2 linked regions of the Rattus norvegicus genome follow. The protein of the gene in region 1 binds, or shares a complex with, the protein of each later gene. Links are inferred from orthologs where the notes say so. Each region holds a gene or a part of one and is shown on either strand. Other genes may lie near its edges. The genes, in order: Csf1r and Csf1.

Region 1 (16,142 bases):
CATCACCTTCATCTCCCGACAGTCACAGGCCTCCCCCATTGCCTGATGCTCACCCACCACCTGGAAGTTCATGGTGGCCGTGTTCGAGCCAGCTGCGTTGTTGGCCACACAGGAATATATGCCAGCATCTTGGAAGTCCACAGCATTGAGGTTAAGAGTCAGGACCTTTTTATAAGCGTTGTCTTGGAAGTCACTGTTTATGGGGATTTCCAACTGTAGACAGAAAGAAATGAGATGTTTTCGACAACCCAAAATTGTTTAGGATCTGAATTCAAATCCTCCACCTCTAAAACCATGCTCTGCCTGTGCATGGCAAGGGACTGAACTCTGAGTCTCAATTGCTTCATCTATAAAATGGGAGGAATCTCAGGCCCCTGCCCCTCTGTTAAAGTGAGAGTGGGTAGACTCACAAAGCAAGGGCTCAGGGCTGGAGCTGACACACGACTTACATGGGGGTGAGGAATCTAAGAGGTAACCTCTCCATTCCTTCCGAGGGACTCCTCATCTTCCCTCTCACTCAGTCTTTCCGAAATAACCACCATGCCTCCATACTTCTAAGGGAGCCTAGGAATTCCTCATTCTGTCTGCAGGGAGCTTTCCACAAGCTTCTGCAAAGGAACAAGCTAATCCCAGAAAGGGTTAGATTGCCACCCCTAGCAGCTGGAGCCAGCTGCTGTTGGCACGGGGTCTCAGACCCCTATTCCCTAGGCCACAGCCATGTCCCCAGCCCAGAAAGGTAGTTTGAGGTGAAGATTCCTTTGCTGAGAGGATGGGCAGATTTCACCTGGCCATCTCCTACCCCCAGGGACTGACCTTGGTGTCTCCACGTTTGAGGATAACGTTGAATTCAACTTCTGAGTGAGTGGCCGAGCACACGATCTGGGCAGCCTCCCCTCGAATCCTCACCAGCTTAGTAGGTTCCAATATGATGTGTGGGGGCCCTGGGTGGGCTGAGGCCAGAAACACAACCCATGAACCCCTAGATTCTCTGCTCAAGCTTCCATCATTCTCCCAATCCAAACCCTGGAGGGTGGCCCTGATACCTCAGTGTTCCCAACAAGCAAGTCCCCAGGAAGAGTCCGCTTTCTGTGTTACCCACTAACGCTGCTTCCCAGAACTGTTCTCAGCTTCCTGCCTCTCATTTCATCCCCCTCCTGGCAGCCAAAGTCAGGTCCCTTTCTTGGGCCCCTCACCTGTGTAAACATTCACCCTCAGAATAAAGCCAGTTCCTGACTGGACATGGTAGCACACACCTTTACATTTAGCACTTAGTAGGCACATGTAGGAGTTCTAGCCCAGTCAGAGCTAAATAGTGAGACCCTGTCTCAAAAATAAGGGGCCATGGGATGCTTGCTGTATACTCCACTGCAGCTAGAGGTCCATCACAGGGTAGCATCTGCCTTCTTTCCTATAGTCCTTTGCTTTCTATGCCTTGGAATGGTATCTACTCTTGTCCTGTCAATTTGGTGGTAGTGGTGGTGGTGGTGGTGGTGGTGGTGGTGGTGGTGGTGGTGGTGATGGTGGTGGTAGTGGTGTTGATGGTGGTGGTGGTGGTGATGGTGGTGGTAGTGGTGTTGATGGTGGTGGTGGTGGTTATGGTGGTGGAGTTGGTTGTACGGTGTTTAGTATGCAGGGCTGTGTATTAAACCCAAGGTAACTGTTCTTCTACTGAGCTACATCCCCAGCGTGTGTGTGTGTGTGTGTGTGTGTGTGTGTGTGTGTGTGTGTGTGTAACATAATTCTTATATGGAGATTCAAAGACTACCTTGGAGAGTCATCATGTAAGTCTCAAACTCAGGGATCAAACTCAGGTCTTCAGTCTTGGCAGCAAGGATCTTTACCATCTCACTGGTTCTTTAACAATCTTTTAAATTCCACTTACATATGTGTGTGTTTGTGTGAGTGCACACACATGTGTGCCTGCATGTGGCCACAGTGCCCATGTGGAGGTCAGAGGACAACTCCCTATAATAGAGGTTCTCTCCTCTACTACGAGAGTTCCAGGGATCCCACTTGGTCACTAGCCTTGGTGGCAAGTGGCTTAACATAACAAGCTAGCCCCTGGCGTTTTTTTGTTACTGGCTGTCATTATATAGCTCAGGCTGTTCAATGCTGGGAATACAGATCTCCTCCACTACGCTCAGTTCCAACTGGTGGCCGTTAGCCCCAAAGTTCTTCAGAGAGCTCGTGGGTAGAAGAATTACCCTCCCCACTACACCTCACCCTGGCCTTTCCTGGTTGCTTCTCCTACACAGCCTGATCAACCTTCTATTCTGCCTTTCTAGTATAATGTCTACTGTAAGTAGATGCTGCTTAGCGCCATGCCTGACACACAGAAGTCACAGAGCAAGCCTAAAAATTAAGCCTAGTATCCTGATGGGTGAAGACAGCCTGGACCAAGACACATGGAGGTCTACCTACAGGGAGGATTCATTTCCCAAATGCTCTTTAGCCAATTGCCCTGGTTAGCTCACCACAGCTGCCCTCGTGGTCAGATTCCCACCCAACACACCTCCCCCCACTTGCCCTGGAGAGAAACGAGCAGTTGAAAAAAGAGAGAGAGCCGTTTCTGTCCTCCCTCTACCCATGCCTGGCTGGGTTTTTCTCATCCTACTTACCTCGATTCACCTTAAGCCGGATGCCAATGGAGGTGGATTCCCTAGCGTTCACAACAGCCTTGCACATGTAGGTATGACTGTCAAGGAATTTAGCCTTGTGGATAATGAACCCTCGCCATGGTAAGAAGGAGTAGACCGTTTTGCGTGAGACTGGTCTGCCCCACTCCCTCACCAGTGAGACACTGTCCTTCAGTGTGGGGTCAGTGATCAGACAGGGCAGCACAGCTTCCTGGCCCTCAAACACTGTCACCTCCTGTGCTAGCAAATTCCAGGGCCGGACAGGATCTGGGAAGAGGAGGGGTCAAGGTGACAACTGAACATTAGTGACGGGAGGATCAAAAGCCTGGGCATTTGCCCCAAGTCACACTGTACTGGACCGTTCAGAGAACGGTTGGCCTCTGGAATCAGGTGCTTCTAAGGCACTTGTTGCTACGTGATCATGGGTAAAAGATTCAAGCCCACCAAGGCTCTGGAGAATGGAGGTAATCATAGAATTTACCTCACGAGCATTAGCACTGCTGTAGGTGCTTAGTCATGACCAATGCCAGTGGCTAGCCCTTCTGCCCAATATGGCGAGTTTAGAGTTCTCACCTTTGACGTACAAGTGGATGGCGGTACTGCCCCGCATAGGGTCTTCAAGCTCAGTACAACGGTAGGTCCCAGTGTTTTTGAAGGTGGCGTTTTTTGTGATCAGGATGCTTCCAGGAGATTCAGAGTCCAAGGTCCAGTAGGGAGAGATGGGGCCATCCCATTCCACACTGCCATTGCTCACACATCGCAGGGTCACTGTTGCACCTGGCTCTACAACCAGCTCTGGGCCACTAGGCTCGATGACAGGGGCCCCTTGACCTGGAGGAGGTGGCAGACACAAGTGAGGCCTGGGATGCACCCCAGGTGTTCCCCAACACTGGGCCATGCTTTGGAAGGGATAGTTCTGGTATGGAAATGAATCTGTATTCATAACTCTATTGACATCTGCCATGCCCAGGGGGCTCATCTCTGAGACTGGCCTGGGCACCTCCTTAGCCTCACATGTAGGCATCTCCACAAAACTATGGCAGCCCAGCTCTCTGTATCATTTCCCACCCCAGGAGAGGGCTCCATCATTCTCATGTACAAAGCGGGCTGTGACTGCATGCAAGCAATCACATGTAAGCAAGACAAGTTTCAAATAAGCAACTAGAGAAACAGATGGCCAAGCCCTGACTTTTCATTCGGGAAAGAAGAAAAGACACCTGAGTTCTTAGCTCAGAAGAAAGAAAGAGCTTCCAAGCGTCTCCTGCTGTCCCATTCCTTTCATTGGAGCATCAGGTCCCTGCACTGTGGGGTGGCCTGAGGCCATCTGTCCATCAGAGCCCTTGGTCTTTTCACCCACAAGTGCAGACAATGAGCCCATTTCCCCACCATGCTAAGCTGTTCTGGTGCCAGGAAACCTTTTGCCTCATCACCTGTTCCAGTAAAGTCTCACAGGGGGCTTGGATGCCACACTTATGAATGAGACTCCTGAGGTGCCCAGTCTGCCCTCGCTTCTCTGGGCCTGTTGGATTTCTTGGCAGCTAATCTCTTTTAAGGAAAATTTGCTTGAAGGAGAAAGGAGAACTCAAAACCCTTGTCAGGTCTTCGGGAAGGAGGCTCGTTGCCTGTGTAGTGTCAGCATTTTTTCCCAGGCTTGAAATAGGGGTAAAGGGGGGAAGTGAGAACTGATTCACAGCCTCTGAGGGCCTGGCAGGCACCCCTGGCCTGTGTGGGCGGAAACACATTGCTGGCACCCGGCTGGCCCTGGTTTCCGCCCAACCCATGGCCCTTCTACACTGGGGTTCTCACTTCTGCTTCCCTGGCCTCCTGGCCATTGTCCTTCTCACACAGTGAAGGACTCTTGGAGAGGGGGGACAATGTACTGGGTCTCAGAACACACTGTGCACAGCCTGTCTGTGCCACTGTCTTGTTTGCTGACCCCACAAGTCAACCCCTCCTACACAGTGACATGGCAGCCCCAAGGGCGTCAAGTCCTTAGCGTATTCCAGTGTTTCCTATCACCACTCTCAATGGGTACTACACACACACACACACACACACACACACACACACACACACACACACACACACAGGCTCCAGCCCAGAAATGGAAAGTCTCCTCTCCTAAATGACTTCAGCCTGGTTTAATGTCTGCTCTAATTCAAACCTACTAGAATCGTGGATCCACATGCCCAAGCTTCCAACCAGCTGGATGTAGAACAGAGGAGAATAGCGCCACTGCTGTGGCTCTCCTGGCAGTGATCAGGAGGAAGAGGCACAAGCTATTTCACCCTGGACTCACATTGACTATAGCTAGGGACTCTGACAGTCATTGACCCTCTGGACATCAGTGCTCCTCTGACCCATGAGAACAATCTCAGTGGTCACCTCGAGGGCAGCAGAGCATGAAAGTCCTCTTGCCCTGGCCTACTGTCCTCATACCACATTGCTAATGTCTCTCTTGTGCCTGCTACATGGGACCTTAACCCTTTACGTCACAGCATAGGACTTTGGGTTCTATGACTCGGCTCCTGCCTTACCTCCCAGACACTGTTCCTTTCCCCAAGGCTACTCTGCTCTGCTTATCTTTGTCTCCTGTCGTGGCCTCCAGGAAATGTGCTCTGGGAGAGGCTTCTGTCTTACTTCTCCCCAGCCTGTTGCCCTGGATATTTACACAGAACAGGGCTGAAACATTCCACGTAAGCCACACGGTGTTCTCACTTCCCACTGGCATGGTTGACGGGAGGGAAGCCCCACTCATCACTACCTTCTCTTGGATGAGCACCTGATGGCCACTGAGCCCCTGTTCCTGTCCATTCTCATCTCACATCTTCTCTTTCAAATTCTCCCCATGACCCAAACCCTCTCCTCTTTGTACTTGCAAAATGGACCGTCAGCTCCAGGAACTCCCCAACCTCCTGCACTCATGACTGACCACCACTCAAAGAGAAGAGACCAGTCTCTCTCTCAGTCTCTCTCTCTCTCTCTCTCTCTCTCTCTCTCTCTCTCTCCCTCCCTCCCTCCCTCCCTCCCTCCCTCTCCATCACCTCCCCTCTGTGTGTGTGTGTGTGTGTGTGTGTGTGTGTGTGTGTGTGTGTGACTCTAAGTGATACAACACCATTCCAGCTCCCACAAAAGCCCCCATGGTCCCACCCACTCATCAATAATCAGCCAGGTTAAAACCTTAGGCTTCCCACTGTTATCTCCCACCTTTTCTTCCTTTGGAGCTGGACACTGGACAGACAGATGCATGCACACACACAAACACGCACACACACGCACGCAAGCATGTATGCACTCAAACTCAATGCCCCACAAGCAGCCCTCAAGATAAAGACTGAATAAGCAGTGAATCAAAATCACAGGATTTTCTGGGACGTGAGGAATAACTGTTTCTTCCTTAGCTGAGTCAGGGCTGCATTAACATGCACATCTGTCACACGTCCTTCAGTGGTATTCTTAAGAATGCGTGCTTTCTAATGCATACCAATCCCATTCTACTAGGAATGTGTCAGTGCACAAGCCACTGAGTTCAGCTGAGCTAGCAAAAAGCCTTCAGTGGACTGTCATCTCACCAGAGGGCTAGAAGTACCAATTCCCCCAGGGACCAGAGTGAGACTATCCTTCCCCACCAAGTCCCATCTTCCCTCAAGGCCTTTTCAAATAAGCAGTGGGTTGGTATAGAGTGTGTGTGTGTGTGTGTGTGTGTGTGTGTGTGTGTGTGTGTGTGTGTTAGGCCAGATGGAGCCTAGATGTGATTCTTGGGCCATTCTGGGCCATTCATGTTAGTTCTCACCTCAGTCAGACCCTCTCCAAGATGGCAGTTTTAAGCAGCTTCCCCTGCCTGAGAAGTTGGGGGAGATACCTAGGAAGCCAGTGTCTGGGGAGACTCTCTCTGGCCTTTCCCCGGCCCTGCTCTAGCATTCTTATTTGCTTAATCACAGGATTTCTCGTTCACCCATGTTCTCCTTCAATTCCTATCCAAACTTTTCACCCTGGAGCCCTGGGCTAGAGAGGCCTCTTCTTTCCTCTACCCTGACCCTTTCTTTCATCCAAGCCTTCTAAGAAAGGGCCTTTCTGAGCCAGGTCCTACTTAACCAGAGCCTGCTGGGCTGTCCAGCTGGTGGGACCACTCAAGGAAGAGCTGAAAAGTTTACTGAGTAGCCCGACTCACAAGATTTTCTCAGAAATGTAAATCTCAGTCCTACCAAGACCTGTTAGAATCCACCTTCAAGGAGACTCCCAGGTAATTTCCCGTGTGCACAGGAGACAACCAAAAGCATTGCTCTCAAGTTGGGCCCACTACCGCCCTCCTGCCTGCCAGAAGGTAGATGTGGATGGTGGTCCTGAAAATACCAGGGCCACACTCAGAGCACACTGTGAGTCAAAGGTCAAGCTGAGACAAACCCACAGCACCAGCCGGGCTGGGTCCACCCACACTCACCTACTCTTCTCCCCAGATAAAATCTGCACTCCTATGCCAGAGAGGTGGAAGCGGAGAATGGGACAGCGATGCCCTCTTTGTAACAGTCCCCGAGCATCCCTTTTTCTGCCCTTACCATGCCAAGCTGTGGCCAGCAGCAGGACCAGAGGAGCCCCCAGCTCCATAGCCTCCAGGGGTTAGCGTGGGACGATGCAGGTTGGAAAGTCGGCTGGGCACAGGGCTCCCAGCTGCTAACTCTGTAGGGATGGGAACAGAGGAACACGTTCTTGTCTGTTGTAGTGGCTCCTCTTCCCCTTTTTTAGGTTGGCTGAAAGGGAACTACAGAGTTTGGAAATATTGGGTCTCTAGAAGAAAACAAAGTGCACACACACACACACACACACACCAGAGGAAGAGGCAGAATCTGAGGCCAGGCTCAACTGACCCTGCAGGGAGGCGATCAAGTTTGAGAGACTTAGGAAGCCACCTATAAGGGAACTTAGGAGAAAATCATAGCAAAGAGCAGCAGCCCATGAGTCAGGAGCATAAATAGGAGTCTCCAAGATGAGCTGAGAGAGGTCAGGTTAATTGGCCCTAAATTCTTCTGACCTTTCTCATCTGCCTTCAAGGCAGAAGGCCTCAAGATAAGGGTAACTGGGGATTTGGGCTTTGACAGTATCAAATCTCCTACAGCAGCGACTGGAAATTTCCATGAATTGTCCAAAACCAAAGTCATTCTAGGTTCCAAACATAGCAAGTCCTGTAGACAGATCACCCTCTGATGAGATTATCCCCCTAGGTGAGGACGGTCAGTCATCTTATGAGAAGAAATGAGGTTACCCCTAAATAGGAGCCATGGGAACCAAACTGTTCCCTCAAGCCCCGAAAGCCAGGAAAGACTCCTCTGGAACCAACTGGTAGAATTCAACAGCACCCACCATGAGCAGGACTCTTGCTCCCTGCACCAAGTCCTCTTATATTTAAACCTGAACCCTTCCCCAGAGACAGGCCCTCGGATGCTTTGATTCCTTTCCCGCGTTTAGCCGTCACTTCTCCTGTTTGATTTCTAGGACAAGTGGTCAGATCCTGATTTGCAGAGATTTGTCCTGGCTACCTAGGAGTCTCGTAATGATATTATGTAGCGCGTGTTTGCTGAGACTCAATCCCCAAACACCTTTGTAATCTTCTAAGCTGTCCCTTTTATGAACCACTGAGTTGACTGACAGCTGACTTCAGGATGCAGTCTGGTTACCTGAAAGACTAGTGAAGACTAGAACTTTCTGGTTAAAGTAGAGGTCCCTAGAGGAGGGCGTGTCCCTTCATCCCCAGATCTTCATCTGGGGGTGTCATACCTTTGTCATGTCCTGTATAAAAAACCAGTAGGGGGATGGAGAGATGACTCAGTGGTTACAAGTACGTATTGCTCTTGCAGAGGACTTAGGTTCAAATCCCATCACCCACATGGTGGCTCACAACCAACCACAGCCCCAGGAGACCCTACAGGCATGCGTGTGGTGCACATACATGGTACATTTAAAAAAAGTTCACATGTAAAGTGAGATGCTCTAGTGAATCAATGAAACCGACGGAGGACTGTGGTCCCCTAATCAAGAAGTGGGGTGAAGTGGAGACCAGGTTCCCGACTTAGGTACGAGCTCTCTCCAAGCAGATGGTGTGAGCATCCGACAGAATTAGAAGGCACTCAGCTGGTGTGTGCTGCAGGACGGATAGTTTGTTTGAGGTGAGGCATAATCCGCCCCTACCACACATATTTGCTTAGAGATTCTTCTGTGTTGAGAGAGAAAACAGGAGACTACGGCCTGTGGATTTCTATATCCTCAGTGGTAAGTTCTGTTTTCACTCTCATTTGCATATGGAGAGCCCGGGGTAAGAGAGGTCAAATACCTTTGAGCTTGTTCATAGTCACACAGCTATCAAGGAGATAAGGATGTAGAACCATCTGTGGCTATTTTTAGCAAGAAATCTATTGCGGTAGACTTCTATTCTTAAAGATCATTCCCTTGCCCTCTTCTTTCTTTATGTGTGATATGTGTGTGCCCGTGTCCGTGTGTGCGCACCTAGGTGTGTGTATGTGTGCGCCAGTCCATGGGAGTGAGTATGCATGTGAGTGAGGCCAGAGATCAATGCTGATGTCTGCCTCATTGCCTCTTCACATAGTGGCTAGACTAGCTGACCAGAAAGCCTCAGAAATCCTCCTATCTTGGCCTTTCCAACACTAAGATCACAGCTATGTGTCACCAGGCATGGCTTTTACTGGGTTGCTAAGGATCTGAACTCAGAGCCTCATGCTTGCATAGCAAGCACTTTACTGACTACGCCACCTCCCTGGCACATCCCTCACTTTTTAAAGACAATCGATGTCCTGTGTTTTAGTTGATTCTTTTTTCTTTTTTCTTTTTTCTTTTTTTTTTTTTACAATTTCATTCAGAAGATGAAAAACTCAGTGGAATACACAGTGCTGACAGAGTATCCCCAGGGGTGCAGAAAAGAAATCCCTGACAAAATCCAACATGCATTTAAGGTTTTAAAAAGTTCAACTAAGGTGGAGTGAAAAGGAAACACAGAGTGATTCAGAGCTCGCATGTGAAGGCACAGTTCATTCTGTGGCCAGACAGAAAGCGCTTCCTCTTTATCATGGCTGCCGCCGCCGCCTCCTCCTCCTCCTCTTCCTCCTCCTCCTCTTCCCCCCTGCTCCTCCTCCTCCTCTCCCCTCCTCCTCCTCCTCTTCCCTTCTCCTCCTTCCTCCTTCTCTTCCTCTTCTTCCTCCTTCTCTTCCTCTTCCCTCCTCCTCCTCTTCCTCCTCCTCTCCTTCCTCCTCCTTCCTCTCTTCATATTGTGTGAGAAATCTTAGCCAGAGTAACAAGGAAGGAAAAGAGAGAAGAATTCTTAATGAAAATGAAAAAGTAAAATAATCTCAATTTGTAGAAAACATGATATATATATGCTAAATAAACTACAAAAAATTAAATAAAATGAATGAATTAAATAAAGCTACAGAATACAAGCTCATCACTCAAAAACTAAGTTGTATGCCTATATTCTAGCAATGATCAAAAAAGGAAAATAAAACAGTTTTAATTTTTAGTACTTATTTTTAGTTATATACGCGTGCGTAGACCTATGTAAGGGACTGCAGCTGTCCACAGAGGCTGAGAGGCATTGGGTCTCCTGGAGCTGGAGTTTCAGGTGCCTCTGAGCAACCCAACATGGGTGCCAGGAACTGGGTTCAGGTCTTTTGCAAAGCCAGTCTTCTCTCTTTACCACGGAGCCATCTATCTCTCCAACCCACCTTATAATTTTGATTATATAATGAATATATAATCAAAATTTAATCTCAAGTAAGGCTGGTAATATGGCTCATTGGACAAAGGGGCTTGCTGCCAAGCCCAATGACCTACGTTTGAATAACGTTTTCATCTTCTGAGTGACCTGAATGGAGAGAACTGACTCTTGCAAGTTGTTCTTTAACTTCCACACGTGCAGGCACCAACACACACATAAACAAACAAATAAGTAAATAAGTGTAACTACCCGGGTGGTGGTGACACACAATCTGAAATCCCAGCACTTGGGAGGCAGAGGCCTACACAGTGGGTTTTAGGACAGCCAAGGCTACCCGGAGAAATGCTGTCTTGAAAAAACTAAATAAATATAACTAATCTTTTTTTCAATTGGGAATAAATGTAACCAAGGAAGCGCAGGACTTACATGCTGACTCATGAAACACGCCAGAAGTTCAGAAGGCCTTGAGGAAAGGGTTTCATGAGAAGACAATCATGATTTCAAGATGGCAGACTGTGTATCAGTACAATTCCAACCCAAAGCCCAGCAGTCATTTTTTTTTCTCCTGAAATAGAAAGGCTGACCGAAATTCATGTAGACTTTGAAGGGGCATTAAATGATTAAACCATTTTGAAAAAAAAGGACGAGGTTGGAAGAGTCACATGTCTCAATTTCAAAGGTTCTTACAAACCTATTGGAATCCAAACAGCATGGCGCAGGCTTGAGAGTAGACACAGAAAAAAAAAAAAAAAAAAAAGAAAAAGAAAAGGGTTGGGGTTGGGGATTTAGCTCAGTGGTAGAGCGCTTGCCTAGCAAGCGCAAGGCCCTGGGTTCGGTCCCCAGCTCCCAAAAAAAAGAAGAAAAGAAAAAGAAAAAAAGAGAGTAGACACAGACCAATGGAACGAAACCAGAATTCGAAACACAAACCCTCACAAGAGGGGCAAGACCATTTGACGTGGAAACAATGCTTCTTTCAACAAATCTATGAAGCAAACTGAAGCCCAAAGAACAAATATGGAGACCCTTATTTCACACCATATGCAAAAATTAACCCAAGATAAACTGAATTGAAGGGAAAGGATAGAACTCTAGAATAAAGTGCAGGGGTAATATTCATCACCGGAGTGAGAAATGGTTTCTTAGCCCTAAAACTCAAAAACAGAGGCAATCAAAGAAAAATTAGATTAGCTGGACTTGGTCAAAACTGAACATTTTGGGGCATCAAAGGACAATGTGAAGAGAATAAAAAAGAATAAAGAAACATAGGAAACAGAAGGAAATACTTGCCAATCCCTGCTGGACAAGGCTGTGTGCAGAGTGCCTGCATGTGTGCGCGCATACACACACACACACACACACACACACACACACACACACATGCACACATGTGTATATGAATGAAAGCTGTAATCTATAACGCAGTAACAAAAGGACAAACAATTCAAATTTAAAATGGGCAAAAAAAATTAAACAGACATTTCTTCAGAAAATATATACAAATGGCCGGCCCTCAAGTGGAAAGATACTCAGTCATGTAAGTCACTAAGGAAGTATAGACCAAACCACAATGAGATGATGTGTCACATTTACTACATTGGTCATCTTTAAAAAAAAAAAAAAAGAAGCAGAAAGGAACAGCGTACAGTGATTCATGCCTTTAATCCTAGCACTAGGTAGGCAGAGGAAGGCAGGTCTTTGTGAGTTCCAGGCTGGCCAGGGTTACACAGTAAGACCTTGTTTCAAATGAAAAAGGAAAAAAAAAAACCAATATTGATGCAGATACAGGCAAACCGGGACTCCCACACATCGCTAGTGGAAACTTAAATATGGTGCGGCTTCTATGGAAATTAGTTAGTTCCTCAAAAAGTTAGCAACAGAAGCCGGTCATGGTGGTGCATGCCTTTAATCCCAGCACTCGGAAGGTAGAAGCAGGCAGATGTCTGAGTTTGAGGCTAGCCTGATCTACAGAGCAAGTTCCAGGATAACCAGAGCTACACAGAGAAACCTTGTTTCAAAAAAATAAAAAAGTTTTTAAAAAGTTAGCAACAGAATTACCATATGAACAAGTATGGTTGGTTTTAATGTCAACTGACCAAATGAACAAAAAAACAAACAAACAACCCCCCCCCAAAAAAAAAAAAAAAAAAACACAGAATAGGGAGCTGCACCTGAGGAACCTTCCCAATTGTCATAATCAACGTGCCCTGACTGTGGGTGGTGCTTTCTGGTACTGACTCAGATAAAAAGGCACGGCAGAAAGGTTTCTTGCCTTTGGCTCTCTTGCCCTTTCTCTCACTGTCAAGTTGACTATGCTGCTGCTGCTGCTCCTACTAACAATGATGGTGACGATGGTGACAACGATGATTTCTTCAATGTTATCAGAACCAGCTTGTCCAGGCTTTCATTATGAACTAAGGACCGGCAGCTCTCCAGGAACCTTCTGGACACCAGAGTGGGTCTGCTGAGGCACCAGATTGTCCACCTCCACGGTGAGAGGTGGTCACTACGGGCCTATTCCAACTGCTGAGATTTCCAGCCCCAAGGACTGAGCGCCCAGGCCTCTCAGCTCTCAGCGTGAGTCGGTTGTTGTTACTATTTTAGCATTAGCTTATTTAATAAACCGCATTGGTTCCTTTCCTCTAGAGATCCCTGAGTAACACACGCGGCAACTGTACCCTTAGGTGTAATCAAGAGGACTGAAAATAGGGGCTCAAACCCACACTTGCACATGGATGTTCAACTCAGCATGGCATCTAATCTCCAAAGGTGAAATCAGCTACGGAGTGGATAAACAGGACATGGTCCAACCGTGCACGGACTATCACTCAGATACAAAAGGAGCAAAGTACCGACAGTTTAAGGTGAACGATTTCCTGGCTGGCAAGATGCTCACCTGGTAAAGGCACTTACCACAAAACCTGACAACATGAGTTGGACCCCAGGACCCACACGATGGAAAGAGAACAGAGTTCTGGGAGTTGCCCTTTGATCTCTACACATGTGAATGTTCTCTCTCTCTCTCTCTCTCTCTCTCTCTCTCTCTCTCTCTCTCTCTCCCCACCTATCCTCACCCCCGGCATCCTCTCTCGACAAACACCTTAAAAGGTGATAAGTAAGCCTTGAAAAATACAGAGCCAAGTAAACGTAGCCCAGCACCCAAGCCAAACTTCCACACAACCCCATTTGCCTGAAACACTTAGAATAAGCAAGTCCGTAGAGACAGACAGACAACTAGCGGTTGCCAGGGCCTGGGGGGAGAAGTGGGAAGGGATTGCTTTATGGGCAGTGGCCACTGAGTTGGTGTGAGAGACCAAAAGGCCTTGGAACTATATGGAAGCGCCAAACCTAACCTGACCAGTTAGAAACAAAGCGAGTAAACCGTTCTTAGACAAACAAAAACGGACTGTGGCTACTGCCAAACAAACGAGCACAAAGTGTGTGTGTGTGTGTGTGTGTTCCTCAAGTAAACGGGGGATATGAACCAGAACCTTGGTCGTGTACCTTTAAAAGTAAATGAAAACAAAGATTGCTAAGAATGGAATAAAAGCTAAAACTGCAACTTTACCATTAAAAACACCACTTAACCGCTGAAAAGATAATTCTCTAAAGCCGGTTTTGGAGCATTTTAGGTCTGCTGACTCGTGACCCTTTTCAGCAGCTTCTTCACCATGGTGGACACAGACGAAGCATAAACCACTGAGAGTAGCTGCCAACTGTTTTCAAGAACAGACACAGGAAGCGGCCTGCGTTGGTCGGAAGACCAATGTGGTGCCGATGACTGGTTAGAGCGAAAATAGCCAGCGCGGTGCCATGCATCTGTGTGCAGGCAAAAGTGAAACAAAAGGCCACAGTGTCACAGAGGATGGAAGGAGCAAACTGAGTGGCCTCGGAGCTCTATTTCCTTCAACACAGCATTGTTTAGGTAGGCGTTTCTGAACTAAAGTCATGTAGTTGTCAAGCCCAGGATAACCACTGAAAATGTTCACTGGTGTAAGCCAATAGGGAGACTAATCTAAAACACAGTCGATACAAAGGGAGATGGGCACAGAGAGAAAAAGGAAGAGAACCAGAGGAAGCAAACAAAGATCTGTGGTAGATTTCAATCCACTGTAGTAAGTATTACTGCAAATATAACTAGTCCAAATATATCAATCAAAAGGCAAAGACTCTCTCTGAGTAAAAATAAAAATCCAACTACTTGTTTTTATGTGTAGGAAATCTATTTTAGAGATGTTGCCCATGGTCCCATAAACAACCCTAATGGCACCCATTTGTTCAAACGCAGACAATAGCAATATTCATCCCTAACCTTTAAAAACTCTTGGGGTTGGGGATTTAGCTCAGTGGTAGAGCGCCTGCCTAGCAAGCACAAGGCCCTGGGTTCGGTCCCCAGCTCCGGAAAAAAAAACAAAAACAAAAACAAAACTCTTGCAAGCTGTATGTGGTAGCTCACACTTGTAATCCCAGCAGTTGAGAGGCTAAGGCAGGAGGGTTATAATGAGTTATAGGCCAGCTAGACTGCTTGGAGTAGAGGGAAACACACACACACATAGACACATACACACACACACACACACACACACACACACACACACACACAGGGTATCTGGGAGGACAATCAAATCAAATGGAGATAGAATGAATAATTTCCTCCTAAAATAAGAAACAAGGCAAGGGGGCTGGAGAGATTGCTCAGTGGTTAGGAGCGCTGACTGCTCTTCCAGAGGTCCTGAGTTCAAATCCCAGCAACCACATGGTGGCTCACAACCATCTGTAATGGGATCTGATGCCCTCTTCTGGTGTGTCTGAAGACAGCAACAGTATATTCATATATAATAAATAAATTTTTAAAAAAGAAACAAGGCAAGGATGTTTATTCTCATTTAAACACTGTACCAGAGACCACAGACACTGCGGTGAGGCAAGAAAAATGCATAAAGGCACAAGTATTTGAAAAGAAGAAATGAACTATCTCTTTGAAAAGATAAAATGAGGGTCTTTATAATAAATTTTTTAAAAAAATACTCAGACTAATAAGAAAACTTAATAGAATCTTAGGTAAGAACAAGATCAATGCATACACAGCAACTATGTTAAAATACCCTGGTCTATTTAGGAAGAACTAGGCCAGAAGAGGTTGTATAGACAGAAAAAGTAGGAGCCCTAGCATTTATTTTTAGAAAAAATACTGTTTTTACTTATATGTAAATGTGTTAATTTATTTTTTAGAAATAAAACAAGTTTCCTGAGTTCACTGCAAGGGACAGAAACCCCCACTCCAGCCAAAAAGGACCGTTTCTAACAGCACCAGTGAAGTATATACAAACTGGACTGCACATAAAATCCGGACATAGAATACAAAGCACTGAAGAAGATACATCTAAACCCTGAGATACATACCATGTCCATGAACTGGCAAGTTCAGTTTTGTCATGCATATCAATTCTATCCTACTGAAAGCTAGAGATTCAACAACAAATTACAATTATAAAAATTGTATCAGAAAAAAATTGCATCAGAAAAAATCTATTTTTTTCTACAGAAAAATGTGTAGAAACTGACAAGTTGATGCTAAAATTCATATAGAAACAGGAAGGAGGACTGAAAGGTGTTTCAGCTGGTAAAGGGCTTGTATAAGTATCAAGATCAGAGCTCAGATTTCCAGCACTCACCGGGATGCTGGGTGGACATGGTGGCCATCTATAAACTCAGCACAGGTGAGACAGAGACAACGGGATTCCTGCTAGACTCTCTAGATCTTGGGGTTCGTGTGAAATGCCTTC
Region 2 (15,486 bases), on another chromosome or scaffold:
CCCCTGACAGCCTGGCACCAGGGCCCCACCCAAATTTATATGGGAGGCTCTAACCTAACTCCCTGCCTTCTGCTTTTACTTCCCTGGCTCTTGCCCCTGAGGTTGGGGTATCCTGCTCATCTGGGCTGGGAAGGAACCCAGATCCCATTCTAATAGGCTTAAAGAATCATCAACAAGTCTAAAGGGTCATCTAGCCAGGCAGGATCCAGTTGTTGTCATGGCTTCTGCTCCTCTCACTAAAGAATGTATTGTCTTTCCACGAGCTTGGCAGGGTGGGGCAGCAGTGGGTAAGGTCATCTGCAGAGCCCTGAACTTGGGCCCTGGGGCTGAACCTCCCAATCTCCCTTCTTAACAGCACTCTCTGCGTGCAGCTTCCCTGGTCCATGGTGCCATCATGGTCTCTGAGGGTTAGAACATTGCTTCAGGGAGAGGCTGGGGCTAGAGACCCAGACTCCCCAGAACTTGGCCGGCCTCTCTTTGAGGCTTTTCACCATAGAGTGCTTACCACCTCCAGAAAAGATTACTTCCTATATTTTCCTAGAGATGCTTCTTCCTTATACAAACGAGACTGCGTGATTTCATAGGTCATAGAAGTGTCTGTCTGTTTTTAAGTCCTCTGAGCTTTTGGAAGATACAGCTTTTCCCCTAGCTGTAGCTCTGTCATTTTGGCATTGTTTTAGGGAGGTAAAGTTAAAATGTCATTCACCCCAAAACCTGGGTCCCCATCCTGAAGCTGAGCTGATCTATAGGTACCATGTAACTGCTGGCCTGTTCTATCTCACAGATCGACAGCCAAATGGAGACTGCATGCCTGATCGAATATAAATTTGTAGACCAGGAACAGCTGGTGAGTAGCAAGTGTTTGTAAGGCCCCGGGTGCTTAACTTTATATTCAGAGCCCATCCTGTGGTGGCATGGAACTGCATGAAAGCAGCAGAAAACCTAGAGCAGACAGGATGGGGATATGGGAATCCCTGGGTGCTTCAAGTGTCAAGTTCCAACTTTCAGGGCTGGGCAGAGTCCAGAGCTTAAGTCCTTTGCTGTTTTCATACTTTGACCTGGAAGAAATCAGGCACTTGCTAAATGCTAGGCACATTCCCCAATTAATCCTAACAGTACCATTCTGAGGTCCACGGATATTGCTTGTTACCCATGCAGAGATTCAGGAGCATACTTAGTGATAGAGGCCTAATTTGAACCCAGGAATGTTATACCATGTGCTTTATTTTTTTAGATCACATCTCCTCCAATCCATTAGCCAGAGAAAGGAAGACAGTCTAGCCTGGCTTTCTACCTCACACCTAACCTTAGGGTGCTGTCCCTTTATACTCCCCAGTCCCGAGGAAATTTTCAGGGGCTTCCTGACTTCCCTGATTCTAGGGCACTCTTCATCTTACCACTAGGGGGAGCCCTCTGAAACCCCAAAGCCTTCACTTATTTCTCCTTACCTGTCAGGAAGCCCATGGCTCTAGGAGAAAGCAGACAATCTAGTTCCAAGTCCACAGTACCCACCACACCCTATGTTCATTCATCTCTCTCCTTTGCTTTGTTCTGCTCCCCAGCTTTTCCATCAGCTCTTTGCGATGTCTTCCCATCACTTCCCATGTGCCCCATCGATCCCTGTGCCACACCTCCTATCTTCCAGCCTCAAGAGAACAATCAGGCTATCCAGAATCCCTTCCGTCTCTGAGCTCTCAGCACTAGACCATCTCTTCTTTGACCATGCCATGGTCTGCATAGTCTCAGGGCTCCATCCATCCATTCTCCTGCTCCTTCACCTATTCACTGGATCAGGCACTAGAGATGCAGAGATAAAAGTAGCTTCTGTCTTTAACCATTTTCGGTATCCTTGGAGACAAAATCCAAGGCTACGCTTTTGATAATAAGATAGTCCTCAGTATCTTTATATTTTGGAGGATTTAAAGGGGCCATATGGAAAAACAAAACAAAAACCAAAAAAACAAAACAAACAAACAAAAAAACTTTTGTGGAAGTAAGTTGAAAGGAGAGAGAGACAGACAGACAGAGAGAGAGAGAGACAGAGAGAGAGAGAGCGCACTAAGGGGCAGCAAGGCTGAATGAAACCCACCCTCCCCTGTGTGTCTCCTGACTAAAGCTGCATTTCAGAAATCCAACGCTCTCTCTAATCAGAATCTACTTTTCTGTCATGCTAGCCCAATTCTCAGTTATGGTTGATTTAAAGAAAGGTAATAAAAGACAGGCCTAGGGTATCATCATCCTCATCGCCAGGGTGGTATGTCCCTTCCTCAAGAGTACAGGAGGCAGGCTACAGCTCTCTATCTGCCTCGGGTGTGGTTGGTCGTCTGTCTCATATAAAGCCTGGCCACCATGGCCAGGGACTAAGCTCCTGGTTCCTGTATTCCAGGACGATCCCGTTTGCTACCTAAAGAAGGCCTTTGTTTTGGTACAAGTCATAATCGAGGAAACCATGCGCTTTAAAGACAACACCCCCAACGCCAACGCCACCGAGAGGCTACAGGAACTCTCTATGAAACTGAACAGCTGCTTTATCAAGGACTATAAGGAACAGAACGAGGTAGGGTGACTGGGGCAGGAGCACCAGGGAAGGGGCAGAGGGAGGCTGCAGAGGTCCCACCCTGCCTCATATGCTTGCCTTGCCTGAACCTCACTAACCTACTCCCTCGCCCATTCACTTCTTTACTCCATCCACCTTCATCAAGCATTCATTAGACAGAAGGCACAGTGTGGACCCTGAGGATATCCTTGGAACAAGAAATTCCCCTTCCCACCCTTACAGTGAGGTAGGCAGCTGTTAAATGATGACACCTGTAAATATAATCAAAAGGGTTCTTCCTCCATTCAGCAAAACCTTATTGAGTGGCCACTGTATATCAAGTGCTGTTCTGGACACCAGGAATGAGCTGTGATTTAAAAAAAAAAAAGTAAAAATCCCCACACTCATAAGAGAGCCAGCGAAAATGAGCAAGTGTGTGGACGGCTGATGGTGATAATAGCATTGGAGAAGAGTAGAGCAGGCGAGGGGAGCCCTGAGTAGTAGTGGGAGGAACAGGAACCTGAGACTGAGAGTGCAGTGAGGACCCTAACAGAATGAGGATGCAGATGGGAAGAGAAGGCAGCAAGAAGACTTTAACTGGTGCTCCAGCACGAGGAAGAGCAGTAGGAGCCACACACAGAGAAACATTCTGGAGTGAGGAGCACTACACTCAAGCCCTAGGGTAACCAGAGAGGTTCGCATTCAGAAGCCCAAAGGGCATGGGTCAGGCATGGGATGTTGACAGGAGGGAGCAAAGTCAGGAAGCACACCACTAATTCATGGTGTTGAAGAGGTGAGCTTTTTGTCTTAAATTTGAAAGAAGCCACCATAAACTAGAGTGACACGATGATATGATGGAAGGCCATCTGGTGGTGGACTGGTCAGTGGGAGGTTCAGCCAAGCTGAAGATGGTGGTGACTTGAATCAGAGCAGAGCAGGGAAAATGAAGGTGAGTGAGCGGGATCCCTCCAGACAGATAGGGTGTGATGCTTCCTGGGAAAAAGGGAAAGGGTGAGGCAGATGTTTTCATCTGGAGTCCCTGGAGCTCTCACTGATGTCAAAAGAAGGATGACCACAGGCAGAGTAGGTTTGAAGGAAGAGCTCAGTTTGGTGTGAGGCAAATCAGACAGCTGTAGTTGCTGCTTGTGACTGTGAATGATGGACACACAGACACTGTGTGTGGAACCACAGAACTGCACAGCCCAGTCCACCCTTCTCACCCTGGTAAGAGGAGAACGGGATCCAGGATCCTGAATGAAACACAAGCCTGAGGTAGGAGGAAAGCCTAGAGAGGGCAGCACCTCAGGGCTTCCAGATAGGAGGAGCCAGAAGCTTTATCAAAGGAGGCTGAGAAGTCAAGTAAGATAAGGGGTGACAGTGTCTGTTGGTCCATCTGATTTGGAAGCATGGAGATTGCTGTTGGAGGCAGATGGGGAGAAGAGAGAGGAAACAGAGACCACAAAGTAGAAACACTCTGCTCCCAAAGGGGACAGGAAACCAGATTTTCTGGAGTGGCTATATGGTTGAGGAAAGGATGGTTCTATACTGTGCAGCTATTCACCTAAAGAGCTTATTTGAAAATGCAGAGGCCCAGCATATACCGTTACAGACTCGACTTTCCTGGGCCCATCAGTGAGCCTGGGAATCTGCGTTTTGAGATGATGCCGCATCAATGGTTGAGATAGAAGCTCCTCAGTCTTCCCTGGGTCAATGACTATTCACTCAGTGCATGCTGAGTGGTGACTTGGGGGCAAGAAAGAGTGTAAGCCCAAGGAGCCAAGGCCAGCCACACTGCTCCGAAAAGGATTATGAGCTCCTAAACCAGCAGGCGCCTCCATGCTGAGAAAGCTTGGGTGTCAGGGTTCTAGGTGAGGATGCCAGGTTTCTTTTACAGCATATAAGGCCAGGGACATATGTAGGACAGAGGCAGCTGGCCTGCCTTAAGAGTTCCTGGGAGAGGCTGGTGTGCTGTTGTTCTAACATCACAAACAAGGGGATGAATCCGCATAAAGCCAGTCATCTGTCTGTTCTCACCTAGCTGCTGAGTGATGAAGCCAAGCCCAGGTCATTTCATTCATTCATTTGTCTAGTAACTGTTATAAGCATGCTATGGGAGGGCCAGAGAGATGCAGTGATGTAATCAAGGGAGCTGTAGTAGCCTTGGAAAACCTATTGGCCTTCCCAGAATAGCTCAACTTTAAGGGAGAGAGTTGGCATTCTGGAAATAGGCTGTAGGTGAGACTGTAACCACACACAGAACAGCTTGCTGTGAGAGGTGAGGTGGACCCAGAGCAGAACCCCGAGGCACTGCAGTATGTAGAAGGAACTCTGGCACAGAGCCTGAAGGAGCAGCTGGTGAGGAGGGAAGCACCCAGGAGGGCATGACTTCTCAGAGCTGCAGAGGGTGTGTGAGCACTTGGGCCAGTGCAGAAGAGAAATGCCATTCAGCAGGCAGGGCAGGGCATCCTCGGCACTTCCTCTAAAATGGGGCACCAGCAAGGACCTCATCTCTTCTGGTCTACCCAGGTCTGCTCTCTACACCACACCAAGATGATTTTCCTGAAAGATAAGTCTTATACCACGGACCACCTCCCCAGCAGGTTTTCAGTTTCCTGTTGGCTCTGTGGCTTACAAGTTCCTGGCAGAGCCAACGAGTTCTTGGTCTTGGCAGGGCTCTTTCCAGCTGTGTCTCTTGCCACTTTCTTCCTACATTGCAGAGCTGCAGCCTCTCCAGCCTTCTTTCAGTCTTTTGGCGTCTCATGCTTTCCTGTCCCAGGGTCCTTGCATCTTCTATCACCTCTACCCCCACTTCCTTCTCTTACCCTACTCAGCTTTTAGCTGATCCTTTTGGAGATCTTCTCCCTGGGCCCTCTTTTAGCACCTATTGGTTATACGCCTTCACATGGCTCAGGACACTCTCTTGGGAGCCACTGTGACTTGTAACAATGGGTTTAGTGCTAGTGTCTGCTGGACTTAGTGCCCAGCTTGGCTAGGAACCACGTCTCTTTTGTTCACTGCATAATGCCCAGGTAAATATATGGCAATATACCTGGCACTTACATATGTGTTAGATGGATGTCTGGAGAAATGACATCTCTCAACCTCAAGACTGATACTGCTGCAAAGCAGAGGAGATGTAAGGGAGGAAACAAAGGGGGAAAAGAGAAAACCTAAGAGAATTGGATAGAGATAACAGAGGAGGCCCATGTTCATGCTTACCAGAGGGGGCTTCACTCTTCTCCCAGGCCTGTGTCCAAACTTACAAAGAGAGTCCTCTCCGGTTGCTGGAGAAAATCAAGAATTTCTTTAACGAAACAAAGAATTTCCTTGAAAAGGACTGGAATATTTTTAGCAAGAACTGCAATGACAGCTTTGCTAAATGCTCTAGCAGAGGTAAGCACAGAAGGGGCCAGCTACAGGGAGGGTGTGTGCAAGGTGGGATATGGGATTGGGGGAATCCCAGAAGCAGCCTGGGTGCTAACTGTGTTTCTGTGTGTTTTGTGTACTCGTGTGGCTTCATGTACCTTAAGGTCCTGTGCACATGTCTTTGCTGACATGTGTGTGCATGCACACTGACTTATGCCTGCATGTACTGTTTCACTGCCAAACTTCATGTGGCAGCACCAAGAAGGCCCCTGCTGGTGGCCGTGATGGTAGTGAATGGGTAATGGGACCTTCCTCGGAAAGCCATAGGCATGGTGGCCTCCCCCCGGGCTCTGCAGGCTGGCTGAATAAATGGGGGTTCCGTGGAAAGAGCAGGAGCTCCACCTGGCAATCAGGGTCCTTGCTCCAGGAGCTTGGCTGCAAAACACTAGGATAACCTGGCTCCGGAAGTCCCCAGGATGCCTTGGATGTCCCCTCAAGGGACAAGGCTGGATTTGAAGTCTGAACATCATTCAAACTCTCTCTACCTGTGCACTCTGCGTGTACTCATCTCTGCATCCTGTGCCACGTGTGTCCTACGTTCAGCCTTACTCCCTAAGGCAGGGGCTGAGGTCCTGCAACCGGACAATAGCCAAGTCCAGCCTTAGTGCTTCAATTCTGAAATTCCAAACTTGGCTGCTTCCCAGCTCCCGGCCTTGTCCTGTCTGTGACAGCAGCTATGGTGGTTCCTCTCCTGGCTGTGCATGAAACCCGTGTCTTGGATGCCTTCAGTGTCTTGTATTAATCCAGGAGCTATTGCTCAGGCCCCTGGCCTGGGTGCTGCTAACCCCTGGCTTGGCCTCCGGCCAGCTAGAACCCTAGTACACTGTCCTGTGATCTTCCTCACCCCAAGTCCTGCTCTGTTTGTCTGTACCTTGCTTTTGGTCCCTAGTCCATGATACCCTGCATATTGATCCCTCATGCCTGAGTTCTGTGTCATGATCGTTTATTACTGTCCTGCCCTCTCCCCAGCCCCAGGGCTGTTAGAAGAGGGACCCCTTCCTATGCCCCAGAGCCTTATCCCCCTCTTAGCCCCTCTGGGGGAGCTGTGCTAGAGGCTGGTGACTCTATCTCCTCCCCATCTTTCTCTCTCCCCCTCTCTGTGGTTCTTTCAGATGTGGTGACCAAGCCTGATTGCAACTGCCTGTACCCTAAAGCCACCCCTAGCAGCGACCTGGCCTCTGCCTCCCCTCACCAGCCCCCTGCCCCCTCCATGGCCCCTCTGGCTGACTTGGCTTGGGATGATTCTCAGAGGACAGAGGGAAGCTCCCTCTTGCCCAGTGATCTGCCTCTTCGCATAGAGGACCCAGGCAGTGCTAAGCAGCGACCGCCCAGGAGTACCTGCCAGACCCTCGAGTCAACAGAGCAACCAAATCACGAGGACCCACAACCTCATCCTTCTGCGGGGGCCCCCATCCCTGGGGTGGAAGACATTATTGAATCTTCAATGGGCACTAACTGGGTCTTAGAAGAAGCTTCTGGAGAGGCTAGTGAGGGATTTTTGACCCAGGAAAGGAAGTTTTCCCCCTCCAATCCTGTAGGGGGCAGCATCCAGGCAGAGACTGACAGACCCTGGGCCCGCTCAGCATCTTCTCCATTCCCTAAATTAACAGAGGATCAACAGCCAACGAATATAACAGACACCCCGTTGACAGAGGTGAACCCTATGAGACCCACTGGCCAGACACTGAATAATACTCCTGAGAAGACGGATGGTTCATCTACACTGCGCGAAGACCAGCAGGAGCCACGCTCTCCCCATTTTGCCACACTGAATCCCCAACGAGTCGGCAACTCAGCCACCCCCTATGCTAAGTTACTGCCTCCCAAAAGCCACTCTTGGGGCATTGTACTGCCCCTTGGGGAGCTCGAGGGCAAGAAAAGTACTAGAGATCGAAGGAGCCCCGCAGAGCTGAAAGGAGGACCAGCAAGTGAGGGGGCAGCCAGGCCTGTGGCCCAAAGTACTAGAGATCGAAGGAGCCCCGCAGAGCTGAAAGGAGGACCAGCAAGTGAGGGGGCAGCCAGGCCTGTGGCCCGTTTTAATTCCATTCCTTTGACCGACACAGGCTCTTCTATTCAGGATCCCCAGACCTCTGCGTTTGTCTTCTGGGTGCTAGGCATCATCCTAGTCTTGCTGGCTGTCGGGGGCCTCCTGTTCTACAGTTGGAAGCGGAGGGTAAGGAGAACTCCGGGAGAAGAGGACATCCTATGGGGCAAGACAAAGGCTGGGTAGGTTACAGGCTGGAGGGTAGCCAGGTTCCAATAGGTTCTGCAGTTGCTGGAAGGTGGGGATGACAGCCCAAAGGGTAGAAGGTAGTGATGGAGTGTGGCTTCAAGAATTAGGAGCTACCAGGCGTGGTAGTGTGCATGTAGCCCTAGCAATCCAGAGGCACAGGCAGGCCTCTTTGGCCAGCCTGATCTACTGGTTGACAAAGCAGGTTTTAGGCTAGCCAAAGCTATATAAAGAGATCCTGTCGGAGAAATTAATTAATTAATTAATTAGGTCCCCAGCCTCCTGGAAATCATTAAGAAAGGATGAGTTCTAGACTAGCCAGAGCTACATAGAGAGATTCTGTCTGATTAATTAATTAATTAATTAATTAAAGAGCTCTCCAGCCTCCTTGAGATCATTAAGAAGGAACGAGAACAGAATCATGTTAAAAAGAGAATTCTTGGCTGGGAACTCAGAAGGCAGAGGCAGGCAGATCTCTGTGAGTTTGAGGTCAGCCTGAGCTACAGAGTGAGTTCCAGGGCAACCAGGGTTGTTACACAGAAATGAGAGCGAGAGAAAGCGAGAGAGAGAGAGAGAGAGAGAGAGAGAGAGAGAGAGAGAGAGAGAGAGAGAGAGAGAGGATGAGGGAATGAGAGAATGAAAGAATGAAAGAATGAAAGAATGAGAAAATGAGAGAATTTTAATACCAAGTGGGAGAGGAGAGGAAGGGAGAGGAATGCTATTCTGGGAGCTTGAGGGCCCATAGGTGGTGATCTACACAGGAGGGGACAGAAGAAGGAGTGCCCATCCTCAGAGGTCCAGGAATCTTCCTCAGCTGTGCATGCTTTGGAGCAGTGGGAGGAATTCTTGCAACTCAGTAACACTTAGGGGCATGCCAGCACCTCAGTAAGATAAATCTTTCTTGTTCTCAGAGCCATCGAGACCCTCGGACATTGGATTCTTCTGTGGGGCGACCAGAGGGCAGGTGAGCAGTTGGAGTGGGGCTGTAGGAGTCACTGCTGTCTGTCTTGGGACCTGTTTCCCCTCTAGATTGAAAGAGAGGCTTCTCCCCCTTGCCCTAAGTAAACAGAGCTGCAGAACAGAGTGGGTACAAAGAAAGAAGAGCCTCTCTTCTTCCCATGACAGTGGAGCTTTCTCCTGATTTCTTCCTAGAATTGAGCAGTTTGGGGTTTTCTAAATCTCATCCATATGGAACCCATATGCAAGTTGGGGATAAGCTAGTAGGTCCCCTCAGTTCCATGCTCCTGCTGAAGTCTTATGTCAACCCTGTGTTCCGCCTGCAGCTCCCTGGCCCAGGATGAGGACAGACAGGTGGAACTGCCAGTGTAGAAAGGATTCTAAGGTAAGGCTCTGACTTTGATATCTCTCTATCCCTTAAAAAAAACTAGGTACCCACCCCTGTTGTAGAAACCACCTGACTCCCAGGCGGTCCACACACTCTTGACTTCCTCTCCTCCACCCTACTCCCAAGTCCACTCATTCATCATCAAGTCTAGCTAGGCCCCTCTCTTCCAGGCCTCAGGTCTCCCCTTGTTCCTGAATCCCCTCCCCAGCTGAGACCAGTTACTGTGACCTCTTCATTATGTTTCTATTCTTGCTGTTGCTACATCTGATCCCAAAGCAACCACATTCCTCCTCCTCTAATGAGGCTTTTACAAGGTCTTTACCACCATGCAGAATTTTCACTAGCCTCTGCATGGCTGCCAGCCCCCTTCAATTACAAGCAATCCCAGCTTGGTACTGAGCCCTGACCTCCTCAGCATCCTCTTCTTACCAAACTGTGCCTTATCTGTTCCTGCTCCCAAGCCAAGGTTACTGCTGCCTCCCTGATTTAGGATCATGATGCCATAGAAATTTAGTCTTGGGAGAGCTGTCAAGAGGTCATTTGGCCCAGTGTCCCAGCTAAAAGGGCTACTCTGCACCCCCACAGGGAGTCAGCCAGCTTCCTGAACACACACACACACACACACACACACACACACACACACACACACACACACACACACACAGAGAGTTTCAGGCAAGTGCTCTGCATGCCAGTCTGCTCAACTACACACAACACTGGGGTCACAGCACACAACACTGGGGGAATTCCTTCCTTATGTGGGCAAAGCTGCCTTCCTTTCTCCCCTTTCCCGACCAGTCCTCTCTCATCTTCTCCTGAGGCCTGATATTTAAAGTCAGTTATTCATGTCCCCTTTAAAAATTCTCTGTGTTAAGTGTGACCAAGCCCCTCAAACATTCCTTATATGATATGGTTTTCAGACCCCTCACCATCCTGGACACACTCGTTTGTCAATGTCCCTCTGAAAATGTGGCGCCCAGCCCTGGACACAGTACTCCAGATGTTGTCTGACCAGCTCAGAGTACAGTGGGACGGTTGTCTTCCTTGATCTGGACAGTGCTCTTCTACTCATGCAGATTTAAGATCACATTAGTTTTAACAGCTGCATCATATATTGTCATATGTTGAGCTTGTAGTCTATTAAAAACCCCAGTTCTATTTCCCACGAGCCTCTGTCCAGCAGACCTTCGCCATCCCATACTCCCACACTTGGACACCTAACTGTTTTAGCCAAAGTGTAGTTGGAGCTCACCTTTGTTAAAACTCCTTGTTGTTTTTCTGTCCATGCCCTGAGCCTACGGAAAGTGTATTAGCTCCTACTTTGGTCACTTTATAACTCCTCGTTGGGTCCCCTGCACACTGATGCATGTCTTTTGTTGTCCTTGTCCACAGTGTTGATGGAGATGTGACCTGTATTCTTCCTCTCTATCTCCACCCACACCAGCCTGTCAGGAAGCTTTTCCTTCCTGAAGTATATCCCACATCCCTCTGGTTGTCCTTTTAATTCATACCCTTCTGCTCCTTTGTATATGGCTCATGCTATATCAATCCATACACATTTGGATGTTGTTTTATGTATTTTAAATCATATTTTATATGTATATGTAAATTTTGCCCTTCTAAGAAGATTGTAAGTCCCTAGAGGGCAGGAACTATCTTCCATTTTTTTCTGCACTTCATTTTCGATCCAGGATTTTAGTACAGACAGTGCCACCTCCATCCTCGTCAAAAATTTAGTAAATGTTGGTAGCTGGTTTCAGGTCTGAATCACCAATTAACCCTGGCCAGAATTCTCTAACTGATCAGCCTTCTGGGTGATTAACCAGCCAACTGATGAACTCATCTTGCCAGCTAGTTAGCTGACTGACTATTCAACTAACTAGCTGGTAACTACTTAACTGACTAATTTTTGATTGATGAGCTGATTGGCTAACCAGCTAGCAGAGTGCTTAGTTGATTTGCTAACTGACTGGATGGCAAAGTAGCTGTGTGATCTGTTGAAGTTTCCAGTTATACCCCTTGCCACATGTAAGCAAACTGTCCCGTGTGTAGGATGATGTGTCTCAGCTCTTCCCCAGACAGAGGAAATCTCACAGATGTTCAGAACCAGGGAGATTTATTTGGATTAAAGCAAGCAGCAACCCATATCTAGACTCTTGCAGACCCACTTGGCTGTAGTGTGGGTGGAGATGGGTGAGATGAATGAGCTGGCTCACTGGAGCAACTGCAAAGGATCCAGAGCCTCTCCAAACTGAATCAGGGAGTAAAGGTTGCCGCGGACTTTGGGGCTCAGTGCTGTGTTTCTGCCACCTGTATGACCTGGTTTCTCTGTACCCAGTTGTCCTTTACACACATCCTAACTCTCAGACCTGCCCAAGACTTCAAGTTTCTCACCTAAGGATTTCAAGATTTTACTCAGTTGGTTCAGATCTAAATTGGTCCCCATTCCAGGTTCAAGGAGTCTATGGGAACTGACTGACCAGTACTCTGACAAGAAGATGAGTGGGACACACAGAAGTGGGGACTAAGGGAAGGACACTAGGTTGCAGAAAACTCGGGTCCATGGTCCCAGGAAGCAGGAGTTGGGTCAGAGGCCAGAGCATGCCCTCTGCGGCCTTCTTCCCCAGTGGACCCTGCCAAAGCCTGTGGCCTGGCTATACCACAAGGCTCATGTCCAGTTTATAGTTCCTGCTTGTTTCCTATCCAAAGCCTGGGAATAGGCTGGGGGCCAAAGGCTGTAGGTCTCATCTTCCTTCCTTACCCATCACAGGCTTGACCAGTAGGGCTATGGACATTACTAGGGAGGCGCCACCCAGGGTCCAAAGTCAAACTGTTGGCTAGAGTCCAGGGGATTTCTGCTATGGAACAAAGAGTTCTGAGGATGCTGGGCAAGGGGACAAAGATGGGGGTGGGGTGGAGAGAGGGCAGGGCCCTGGCTTCCATGGATGACAAGAGGCAAGTCCTTCATCCCATCTGGGAGGAGGCTAGGCTACTCAGGGTGAGCATGCCTGTTGATAGGGCAAGCCCTCCCTTTTCCTGGCACTGTCTCTACCCTCTGCCCATCAAGCCCAATTTCTTTCTACTTGATTGCTTTTGAGCAAGTGTCTTCTGTGCAGACCCTCTCTAAGGCATGGTATGGAGGCATGAAAAATTCTTTGCTAGAGTTGGCAGAGATCCCCTTAGATCATTGGTCTAAGACTACTAAGATGGCCTTACCTGAGGAGTGGCCTAGTAGGGACATTCAAGAGCTTGTTCCCTGCTTCCATCTGCTTGAGCAATAAGCCTAGACCTCCTCCAGTCCTAGGCCCTCATTTTGTGGTCACTACTCTCCCAGGAGGAGAGGTAGGAGGTGAGGCCAGTCTGTCCAAAGGCTTGGACTGCTGCCAGGCAAAGCTGCCTGGTGTCTCTGTGGTGTCTGGGGTCACCTAGAGGGCCAAGGAAATGACCAGAGGAAGTCTTGCCTGAAGCCAGCCAACAACCCACAGGAATGCCACACCTCCCCCAACTATGTCCTCAGCGACCCTCCCCATACTCCCTCTGCTGACCAGCCTTCTTCCCTTCTTTTCCCTACAGCTGGGCACACAGGACTATCTCTTTATGGGAGGAGACATTATGGCAACGTCCACCACTACCCTCTCCTGTCATCTTCCTGGGAATGTGGTCTGCCACTACCAGAGCTCCTGCCTACCAAGACTGGATGAAAGCAGCTTTGATGGGGATCTTTCCATCCTAACCCTTAGACTCTCAACTAAAGAGAGAGGGCTGGAGGATGCCCCCAGTATCCTGCCACTATTTATTGTGGGCCCTGGAGGCTCGCTGCATTTGAGGAAGGGCAGCTCAACAGCTCAGGACCCTTTCCCTTAGGGGCTGTTCCCTCCTCTCAAAACCAGAACCTGGCAAGGGCCACACTAGCCTGTATGGCCCATGGGAGATCAGGACAGATGAGAAGGAGCAGAAGAGCCCTGTGCCCAGAAGACCCAACTGGTGCCAAGGAATCCCAACGTGGACAGGCAGGGGCCTGTTTCCCAAGAAGAGAGCCTGACATTCAAAGGGTGGGACAGCATCTGCCCAACTTCCCGTAAAGGCATAAAGGCACGAAGCCCAAAAAACGGGAAGAGGAGGCCTTTGGCTGCTTGTGATGACAGCTTAAAGGGGTCTACACCCTCAACTTGCCTAAGTGCCCTCTGCTGATAGCCAGGAAGGAGGGAGACCAGCCCTCCGGACCTATCTGACCTGGCTCATGATGCCAAGAGGAAGACTGAGCTCTAACCTCATCTCCTCCTGCCCATAGCCCCTGCCAGAGTTCTTTTGCCAGCAGAGGCACCCCTCATGAAGGAAGCCATTGCACTGTGAATACTGAACCTGCCTGCTGAACAGCCTGTCCAATCCATCCCTATGAGCGATCATCCGTCCGAATGTTCTCCCACTTCCTTCAACCTCTCCTCAGCTTCTTGCACTGAGCTGGCCTCACATGTTGACTGAGGGAGCCCCTAAGCCCGACCTTCCCCCGCCTCAGCCTTTGATTGTCCAGGGTGAAGCTGTGGGAGAACTGCCTGGGCTACCAGTCAGAGCTGGTCTTTAGGCTGTGTTCCTTACCCAGGTTTTTGCATCTTGCACTTTGACATTCCCAGGAGGGAAGTGACTAGGGGAAGGGAGAGAAGAAGGGGAGACAGAGACAAAGGCCACAGGCAGAGCTATAAATGAGAATGGGTCTTGAAAATATGTGTGTACCCCTAAGCTTGAAGTTGATCTCTATACTCCAGTCCCTTGCCAGCTGCCTTCCCCTACTGCCTGAAGCCTGGAGCTGAGCAGGTTGTCTGGTCCTGAGCTCTGGGTATGGAGCTCTGTGCTCCAGCCCCACCCTCTTCTGGCCTTTGCTCTCCAGACCTGACTCTGGTAGGGAAGGATACCTTCCCAGTCTCACCTACCCCCCCCCCTGCCATCTCTAGCCAAGCAAGCCAGGTCTAGAGAGGGATCAAAAAAAAATGGGTCATTTACTTCCAACTCTGCTCTGATGCTCTGTTTCCTGAGCCAGGCTAGTCTGTGGTGACCTGGGCATGGGTGACAGGGCTCTTACTTGCTCCTTGGTCTCTTTATGCTGCTGCCCCGCCTCCCCCCTTTCCTGCCCTCCCTGGCTACTGGGTCGCTAATCTTTCAGGCCATGGATCCGGAGGAGAGTGGTCTATAGGCTCCACCAGCCCTGTCCTGAGACAACAGAGGGGGTGAGGACACTGGAGACTTTCCCGTGGGGCTTACTTAGCCTTCTAGTTACAGACTATTTCCACACTAGAAAATACGTATTTTTAAATAGAAGAAAAACACAGAAACAAACAAAAGGCATTCTCCTACCCCTCCATCTTAAACATACATTATTAAAGACAGAAGAGCAAATCCAACCCATTGCAAGAGGCTCTTTGTGGGTGCCTGGTTGCATAAGAGCAGGAGGAGCCCCAAACCCACCTTTGGAGCTTCCCTGCACAGGAACCCCTTCTTCCCTCCAAGAAAGCCCAGAGGGAGCACTGCCTCACCAACTGTGAGACTGCGTTTTTTTATACTTGGAAGTGGTGAATTATTTTATATAAGGTCATTTAAATATCTATTTAAAAAATAGGAAGCTGCTTTTATATTTAATAATAAAAGAAGTGCACAAGCTGCCACGTGTGAGTCATGGGAAAAGTTGATTTTGGGGCGTGGGCAGCAACAGTCGGTGGGAGGGAGCTAGCTCTAAGATTTTTTTCAAGGTGTATGATTAGGTTTTCTCTGGGCTTCAGTCTTGTTTCTAAAACCTTCTGTACTATTGGTGTTCAAAAGCATTCATCTGCATATCTGTTAATAGGAAAAGCACAGAAAGCCGCCAAACCTCAGGCCTGGCCGCTCCCCCCCCACCCGGCCACCTCAAGCCCAGCCCAGCCCAGCCCAGCCCAGCCTGGGAAAATGGCTGGTTGGGCT

Evidence for each region.
Region 2: the proteins of Csf1r (region 1) and Csf1 are in contact, whole or in part, in a crystal structure (PDB 3EJJ), measured with the Mus musculus proteins. The link is inferred for Rattus norvegicus from reciprocal best matches to the Homo sapiens genes CSF1R and CSF1. Residues at the interface, in NP_001032948.2 of Mus musculus: Arg142, Arg146, Leu149, Arg150, Lys151, Lys168, Val169, Leu170, Ser172, Asn173, Val231, Gly232, Phe233, Leu248, Ser250, Asp251, Phe252, Asp254, Asn255, Tyr257, Lys259; in NP_001107002.1 of Mus musculus: His38, His41, Met42, Gly44, Asn45, Gly46, His47, Phe87, Gln90, Asp91, Asp94, Arg98, Asp101, Glu110, Arg111, Gln113, Glu114, Leu115, Asn117.

Annotation. Positions count from the first base shown.
Region 1 is NC_086036.1:56,825,478-56,841,619, reverse strand, and holds the start of Csf1r (macrophage colony-stimulating factor 1 receptor precursor), read right to left. Parts: upstream 7,242-16,142; coding exon 7,193-7,241; intron 7,109-7,192; coding exon 7,078-7,108; intron 6,980-7,077; coding exon 6,940-6,979; intron 5,022-6,939; coding exon 4,961-5,021; intron 3,468-4,960; coding exon 3,210-3,467; intron 2,904-3,209; coding exon 2,619-2,903; intron 951-2,618; coding exon 814-950; intron 214-813; coding exon 54-213; intron 1-53. UniProt on the Homo sapiens protein: Tyrosine-protein kinase that acts as a cell-surface receptor for CSF1 and IL34 and plays an essential role in the regulation of survival, proliferation and differentiation of hematopoietic precursor cells, especially mononuclear phagocytes, such as macrophages and monocytes.
Region 2 is NC_086020.1:198,065,108-198,080,593, reverse strand, and holds the end of Csf1 (macrophage colony-stimulating factor 1), read left to right. Parts: intron 1-784; coding exon 785-847; intron 848-2,386; coding exon 2,387-2,557; intron 2,558-2,702; coding exon 2,703-2,783; intron 2,784-5,781; coding exon 5,782-5,929; intron 5,930-7,074; coding exon 7,075-8,188; intron 8,189-9,103; coding exon 9,104-9,156; intron 9,157-9,475; coding exon 9,476-9,534; intron 9,535-10,457; coding exon of another isoform or gene 10,458-10,502; exon of another isoform or gene 10,503-10,700; intron 10,701-13,110; coding exon 13,111-13,401; 3' UTR 13,402-15,194; downstream 15,195-15,486. UniProt on the Homo sapiens protein: Cytokine that plays an essential role in the regulation of survival, proliferation and differentiation of hematopoietic precursor cells, especially mononuclear phagocytes, such as macrophages and monocytes.